Rattus norvegicus: one gene and its partner. The protein of the gene in region 2 purifies or fractionates together with the protein of the main gene of each other region. This does not show direct contact. Links are inferred from orthologs where the notes say so. Each region holds a gene or a part of one and is shown on either strand. Other genes may lie near its edges.

Evidence for each region.
Region 1: the proteins of Pex1 (region 2) and Pex26 purify together in Homo sapiens (affinity purification with western blotting; 3 studies listed by BioGRID and IntAct, with this or other methods). This does not show direct contact. The link is inferred for Rattus norvegicus from reciprocal best matches to the Homo sapiens genes PEX1 and PEX26.

What each region holds. Positions count from the first base shown.
Region 1 is NC_086022.1:156,093,411-156,097,225, reverse strand, and holds part of Pex26 (peroxisome assembly protein 26), read right to left. Parts: intron 3,714-3,815; coding exon 3,567-3,713; intron 702-3,566; coding exon 598-701; 3' UTR 1-597. UniProt on the Homo sapiens protein: Peroxisomal docking factor that anchors PEX1 and PEX6 to peroxisome membranes. PEX26 is therefore required for the formation of the PEX1-PEX6 AAA ATPase complex, a complex that mediates the extraction of the PEX5 receptor from peroxisomal membrane.
Region 2 is NC_086022.1:31,506,941-31,510,755, reverse strand, and holds part of Pex1 (peroxisomal ATPase PEX1), read left to right. Parts: intron 1-2,807; exon of another isoform or gene 2,808-2,883; coding exon 2,884-3,027; intron 3,028-3,815. UniProt on the Homo sapiens protein: Component of the PEX1-PEX6 AAA ATPase complex, a protein dislocase complex that mediates the ATP-dependent extraction of the PEX5 receptor from peroxisomal membranes, an essential step for PEX5 recycling.

The DNA of each region.
Region 1 (3,815 bases), about 120 Mb from region 2:
AGATAAGGTCAGGCAGGCTCACATTGCTCCTGTGGCTACCTGGGTGGGTCAGAAGCCACATCCTGTCTGAACAGAAAAATGCCTCTAGCAGAAAGCTGGACCAATGGGAGGGGATGGTGAACTGATCCCAGCCTCTGTGGGAGGGGCGTGGGGGAAGAGAGGACTCCGGTTTTACTGAATTCAGGTACTGAGCTGTGGAGGGGTTTCAGAGGTAAATGGCTAAGGGCCGCTCCACCGCGTTTGTGAATCGCAGCTCCTCCAGCGCCCGATCTGGAAGGTCACCCTCTGCCTTTGTCAAGAAACCACAATGTCTCAAGACCCAGTCCCTGCTCCTAAACCCCTTCTTTTTGAGGAGCTGTGCAGAATTCTGTGCGCTGGCCTCGGGCACCACTGTTCACACACTCCTTTTGAGGCCAGCCACAATGGGATACGGAAGGGCGGGTTCACAGGCAAGCCATGGCTCTCCCGCCTTGGCTCCTCCTCCTAGAACGAATGGGCCCACTGCCATGGTGCCATCTGGGACCCAGCCACTGGGCTCGGCTTTTCCGCTTCTGTAGATGGGGACTGTAAGAAGCAGAGGCAGCCACGTAGGACCACTCAGTCCCGGAGGGTGAGCGGGTAGAGCCGAGAAAGCGTGGCCTTCTGGATCCGGCGGAAGAGCTGGGTCAGCTGGTAGAGGAAGGGCAGTGAAGAAGGAGCTGCTGTGGGAAAGGAGAGACTATCGTGAGTGTTCTTCCCTCAGCCCCTCCGAGGCAGCTAGAAAACACAGCCAGGCTTCCTGCTATTCGCAGCCTCCTCGGCAACAAGAAATTTCACTTTCTCTGAAAATTTTTTTTCCAGTTGAATTACAATAACTTTAAATATTCTAGAAAAAAATCCAGATTTATTACATCTTAATCATTCTGGCATTTACACAACCGCTGGTGACTCTCAGAAGCCTACACCGAGCTTCTGGTGTCGGGCGTGTCTCAGGTGTGTCTTGCTTTCTTCCAAATGCCTCTTTCCTAACTTTCCATGCTTAGGCCTCTGTTAAAATTTTTCTTCGGGGCTGGAGCGATGGCTCCGTAGTTAAGAGCACTTGCTGCTATTGCAAAGACCTGGGTGCAGTTCCTAGCACCCACATTAGAGGCTCACGACCAGTTCCAGGGTATCTGACACTTCTGGCTTCCAAGAAAACCAGGCATGCATGTGGTACCCATCCACATATGCAGCCTCATACATATTTTTTAAGTCTAAAAAATGTCTGTTAAGCCCCAACTCCACTTCCTGAAAGAAATAATTAACAACCATGGGAGCAACGTCTACCACTAGGGAGAGCCATTTGGAAAAATTTCACTGCACTTTTTGCCTTTCTGTGCCTTTCAGTTTGAAGCCTTAGGACAGTTTGACGTATTTTACCACGAATTAACGACATTGAAAATTTAAAAAAAAAAATCAAAAAACAAAAAACAAAAAACTACCATTTGTTTCGTTTCCTTGTTTGGATTACAGACTTAAAAAATACATATTTCTACTTTTAGTTTGATTTGGGGAGGTTGGCCAGGTTGGGCAAGGATGACAGAGTTGGGCCTTCTGCTTTCGCCTCTTAATGCTGGGACTCCAGGTGGGAGCCACCACACCAAGTTCTTTGTGGTGCTGGGAACTGAACCCAGGCCTTAGTACATACCAGGCAAGTGTGGTATCTGAGCTCATCCCTGGCCTCCAAAATAAGGAATACATATTTCTCTCTTAAACACCCTAGCACCTTAGAGAGCTAGGACAGGGGCTTCAGCTGGCACTGGAGGCCAGCCTGGGCAAGGCTATGAGACACACACAGACCTGCTCCTCTAAGTGGGGGGAGCAGTGTTTAGGGCTAAGGAGATGGCTCGGTAAAGTACTTGCCAAAAAGTGTGAAGACCTAAGTTCGAATCCTAAATACTCACTTGAAAGCCAGGCATGGGGTAGCACATACCTGCAACCCCAAGGCAAGTGAAGAGACTCAAAAACTACAGCAGAAGGGCTGGGACTGCAGCTCAGTGACAGAATAGTCACTCCTCAGGGCTGAGGGCCTCAACTTAATCCCTGGCCACTGTCATCCTTATCATCACCATGTGGAGTAGCCAACAGTGCACACACGCGCGCACATGCATACACACACATGCACAAACGCATACAAACACATATAGACATGCGCACACGCATGCTTGCATAGTGGGAGCAGTGGGAAGAAAGGTGTTTATTCCTCTAAGGCTGGAGATGCAACCCAGTCCTTCCTACATGTATGTATGCCACATGCATGCCCAGCCCTCCATACCTGTTATTTTTCTTTAAAGTAACTGACCTTCTCCCCAAATTCTATTTGCAGCGCCACCCACCCCCCATGTGGGTCCTCCTCTCCTGAGGAGAGCTGCTCAGTACACACCCAAGTTTGAATGGTTTTCTTGGTCACCATTTAGGAGATCAGGGTTTAGGGGAAGTCATAAGGAACTTCTACTAAATTCTTATCAACTATGCAAAGTAGAGAGTCAAGGACAGATGGGAAATCACAGGAACTGAACTTCCCCTTTTCAAACGTGTTTTTCCAGCACTGAGAATGTGCTTCCCACGGTAGGGGTGTCTCTGCTCACCCCTCATTTCTGTCCTGTTTCTGGAAGCTGCTGGTGGCTTTCTTGTATAACCAACAGAGCTGTCCAGAGAGGACATTCCTGCTCAGAGTCCAACAAGTGAGAGGGGAGGTGAGGAAAACAGGGACCTAAAGTCAAAGGTTTAAAACCAGGCGAACTGTGTGGCTCTGGTCTAGTCACTCTGGTTATTAGATTTCTCAACCAACAATGAAAGAAAATTAAAGGCTTCTCATTTCTCCTTGGTTTTGAAAGTTGCACAATCCTATCTACATCTAAATTCTTGAGAAAGTACAGACTGCTTCACAACCCACAGAGAGTGACTCGGAAAGTCTGGCTTGGTGGTGCACGCCTGCAACCCCAGCATCTGGGAGGCAGAGACAGAAGGTTCGACACCATTCTGCACTATACAGTAAGACTTGTCTTTTGTTTTTGTGTTTCTCGAACGGCAGTCAGTCACCTAACTGTGGCCCAGAGTCCCATATCTGAGTGTCCACTACACAGGTGTTTTCCCGAGTCTCACCTCTACTCCACAGTGAGGCAGAAGAGATTAATCACCCAAAGGACTGACACATATCAATCAGGGGAAAAGTCTATAAACCAGAATATCATTTAGCTGTTTCACATTTTTTCCCCCACATCGTCTAAAATATGTCAGACTTTCACTTACGATTTCAGGGTCATTACACGAGCCAGGAGACCTTAACTAATTTAGGTTTTACTATGAGAAAGCTTCTTAGCATTGCATTCTGATCAGAAGTCACCCCTGGATGGAGCAGGGCCCAGGTGAGTCCATCGGCATGCAGAGCAGCAGGGAAATGTTCTCCAACTGCTCTCCTAGGATCTGGGCCTGGTCTCCCCCCCAGGTGAGGTAGACTCTAGTTCTTTGTGGGACAGGCTCAATATCACAGGAGGTGGCGCCCTCCCAGGCTCTCACAGACCCTGCCGCCACACCCCTTCACTCACCTGGATCAAACCGTAGAACCAAGAGACAGAGGATCAAGGCAGCCAGGAGGCCCTTTCTAAAGGGCTGGGAGAGAAGGTGGCTCACCGCAGAGCCACAAAGGCGGCGAAGCAGCATCAGCAGTGACAGCAACTTACGGGGAAATGAACCTGGCCAGGGGACAGAGCGTCATCACAGGGTGAGTCAGGCAAATCAGATCTGAAGAGTCAATCCAAACCAAATGAGAATGACTTCCTTGCACAACTCATTAA
Region 2 (3,815 bases):
CTGCCTCCTGAGCATCGGGATTAACGGTATGAGCCACCATGCCTGATCTGTAAGTGGTTGATCTATTCAACCACTCTCTGTATATTTTAAGCTCAGCATTTGCTGTGATTGCAACAGAGAAAGGATTCCTCTGGACACTGGGGTAGGGGGAATCTACACCTCACCCAGAAATTTCCTTGTACAGACTTCTTGTTTGTTTTCTCCTGTTAGTAAGAGACAGTCCAGGCCTTTGACTGAGGCACTCCTGAGGCATGTGCATGTATAGATTCACCTGATTGTTTCTTTCGAGATGATGGCCACAGTATAGGCCAAAGTAAACCAACAGTGCACTTCTTGATTACATTCCTGAAGGGGGCTCTGTTCTATTACTTCTGTCTGACTGAAGGCTTCTGTGGTTCTAATGAAATCCAATGTACAAATCAGCTTAGAACATTAGTTTGCCAAACCTCACTGAGTGCTGCTCATGACTACATTTTGACCAAACGCAAATGACTGAAATGTTTTTCTTGTCTGATAAAGTTGATTTTTTTTCTTTTGTTTTTCCTAGTGGGCTAGTAGATAGATATTTTAGACATTTCAGGATGTCCGTTATATTTCTTTCTTTAATGTCTCTGGTTTTAAAGCTTTCTTACAAAATAGGGGGCACTGAGTTGTAATATCAGCAACTTATGAAACCACCTTAAAAGTGCCTGAGGCTCTGTTACATTTGCCCTTGTAACCTAGACAGTGACCCGGGACTTCTACTTGCTTTTACTTTATTAAACGGTGCTTAGTTGAAAAAGCTTTGCCAGCAAAAACAATTGCGTCATTGCTTGGAAATTGTGAGAAAAATTATGCAGCTAAAGGACAAACCGTGACTTTTGTTTTTTGTTCTTTCAAGACAAGCCTTCTCTGTGTAGCCTGGGCTGTCCTGGCTGGCATTTACCAGGTAGACCAGGCTGGCCTTGAACTCAGGAATCTGCCCGCCTGTGCTGGGATTAAAGGCTAACAGTGATTTTCTTATGTACAGAAGTTTACTAATGAGTGTGTTTGAGAACCATGTTGCCTAAGACTTCTGTATTCTTTGTAATTTGTTCTGTTTAAACAAACGTAGAGTGCTGAAGTTCGATATAAATGAGAGAGTTTGGCTTCACTGTTTTGAGGTTAATGAATTTATTTTGAAATGAATTTAATAACACTTAAGCTTCCCGAGACAAGAAGTCTTCAGGACTGTTTATCAAGGTGCTTGCTGTGTTTTACTAAGAAACGGTAGATGTGTAAAATGCTTGTAGTGTCATAGTAAACGGGTAAAACATATTACAGCTCATCCATAACATAAATACACGATTCACTGACTGGAAAGGGTTGGCAAGAAGTATACAAACTGTTCATATGATTGTGTTTCCCTCCAAGTGCACATATTCCCCAAGATTCCTGTGAGTATAATTGTTTTGGTTTTGTTTTTTCGAGACAGGATATCACTATGTAATCCAAACTTAACCTTAAATCACAATTCTCCTGCCTCAGCCTCCCAAGTGCTAGGATCACAGACATGAAAAACCATCCCTGCCAGTACAGTTCTTTAACTGTAGAGGACTTTGGTCATCTAACTCTCAGCACAAATGGACATATTATGTTTTTGTAATGTTTTTTAATTTTAAGGATTTATTTATTTATTTATTTATTTATTTATTTATTTATTTATTGGTTCTTTTTTTCGGAGCTGGGGACCGAACCCAGGGCCTTGCACTTCCTAGGCAAGTGCTTTACCACTGAGCTAAATCCCCAACCCCAGGATTTATTTTTAATTATGTGTCTGTGATGGTACTTGTGGAGGCCAGAGGACACCAGAGCTGGCTCTCTATACTGACTGCTCTTAATCACAGCGCCATGTCCCTGACCCCTGATTAAACTATGTTTCTAAAGTTTTACGACCTTTATCTGCTTATTCATTTGTTTTGTTTTTGAGACAGGGTCTCACGGTGTAGCCTTGACTGGCATGGAGCTCACTCTGCAGACTAGGCTGGCACTGAACTCTTAGACACTAGCCTGCTTCTATTGCCTAAGTGCTGGGATTAAAGGCATGTGCCACCAGGCCCAGCCAGTTTTATGAACTTTAAAAAGCATTAAGAAACTGCATATTAGGGGGTTGGGGATTTAGCTCAGTGGTAGAGCGCTTGCCTAGGAAGCTCAAGGCCCTGGGTTCGGTCCCCAGCTCCGAAAAAAAGAACCAAAAAAAAAAAAAAAAAAGAGCCAATAAAAAAAAAGTCAAAAGTTGTTCTCTCAGGCTGACCTTCATTCTAAAAAAAAAAAAGAAACTGCATATTATAATATTTCAGGAAGTTGTTAACAGTAATTTCTTCTAGGAACATGGGCCCACCTTTACATTTCCTTTTTAAAATTTTGTACTTTTACTATGTGTATTTATTACTTTTTAAATAAATCTATTGATCAGTAAGAGATGAGATACCCCAGCAGATTGGAGTTTCAAAAGTCTGAACTGTGTTGTTTTATACTTTTAAATTTTAATTGAAGGCTAATGAATTTATACTTTATTAAAACTAGAAGCATTTTCCTGAATGTGTGTAATTTTTTTTCTTCTCATAAGCATACTGAAAGCCTGTGTAAATTCATCCAAGTACCCATGGCATTTTGAATTACGAATCACTTGAATCAATCCATAAGGCTGTCGTAAGACTGTGAGCATGTTGGTTTTGTGGCTAGCTTCTCAACTACTGGATGTTTAAAACAATTCCTGTTTTTTAAATTAGAATGTGAATAAAGAACGATTACCTCTAGCACTGTTTTTGTTTTGTGTATTATAACAGGTGCTTATCTGAATCCAGAGGGAAAAAACCATAAAAGTTATAAACTCCCTTTCTCTCCCATTGTTTGGATAAATAGAATCAAGCTATAGAAGTAACCGGGGATCACCAGCCTACCTACTTGAGCTGGGTGGAAGGCAGGCATTTTAATGATCAAAGTGAAAATGTGGCAGAAATTAATAGACAAGTTGGCCAGAAGCTTGGACTCTCGAGCGGGGATCAGGTAAGTACAAGTGGCCGCAGTCACTTTTTTTTAATGTCACATCCTAAGGTTCAGGCATTTTGAAGGTGAGGTCATTTGTATGCTTTCATAACCAGGACAAGACACTCAAGCTAGCTATATTTTGTTAAGTCACTGTCTCATCTCTAACATGCCTCCAACTCAACTTTGTATTCTAGTTGTTAATTTTCCAGTCAATTTTTTGTGAAATTATTTTTCCTTTTGAGTATTGGGTTTCCTCCTTACTTTAGAACTTCATTTTAGTTCTTGTCATAGTTTGATTATTTATTATGTGTGTATGTGTATGTGGTGGAATGGGGGCCGGGGAGTACTGGGGCCAGGAGGAGGTCAGAAATCATGCTTGGAGGTCGGAAGAGAACTTGCAGGAATCCAGTCTTTCTTTTTTATACCAGAGCTCCAGTGATTGGATTCAGGTTGTCTGTCAGGCTTGATAGCAAGGGCCTTTACCCACGAAGCCATCTCCCTGGCTCCATTTTATACACCTCCCTCCTCTCCCTCCCTCCTCTCCCTCCCTCCCTCCCTCCCTCCCTCCCTCCCTCTTTCCGGGAGTAAAAGATCGTGCCGGTCTTTTACTTATATTATGTTCATCAATTCATTAACTTTAAATATTCAATTTGAATATTCACTTAAAATTTGATTGAAAGTAAAAATTTCCTTTTCCCTTTCCTGAAATAGATGTTACTGTTTGTTGAGATCCAACCAGACCTTTAGGATAAAAAGAAAAGGCGCAAACATGTTTCCCATAATCTTTACTGCACACAGTGTATCAC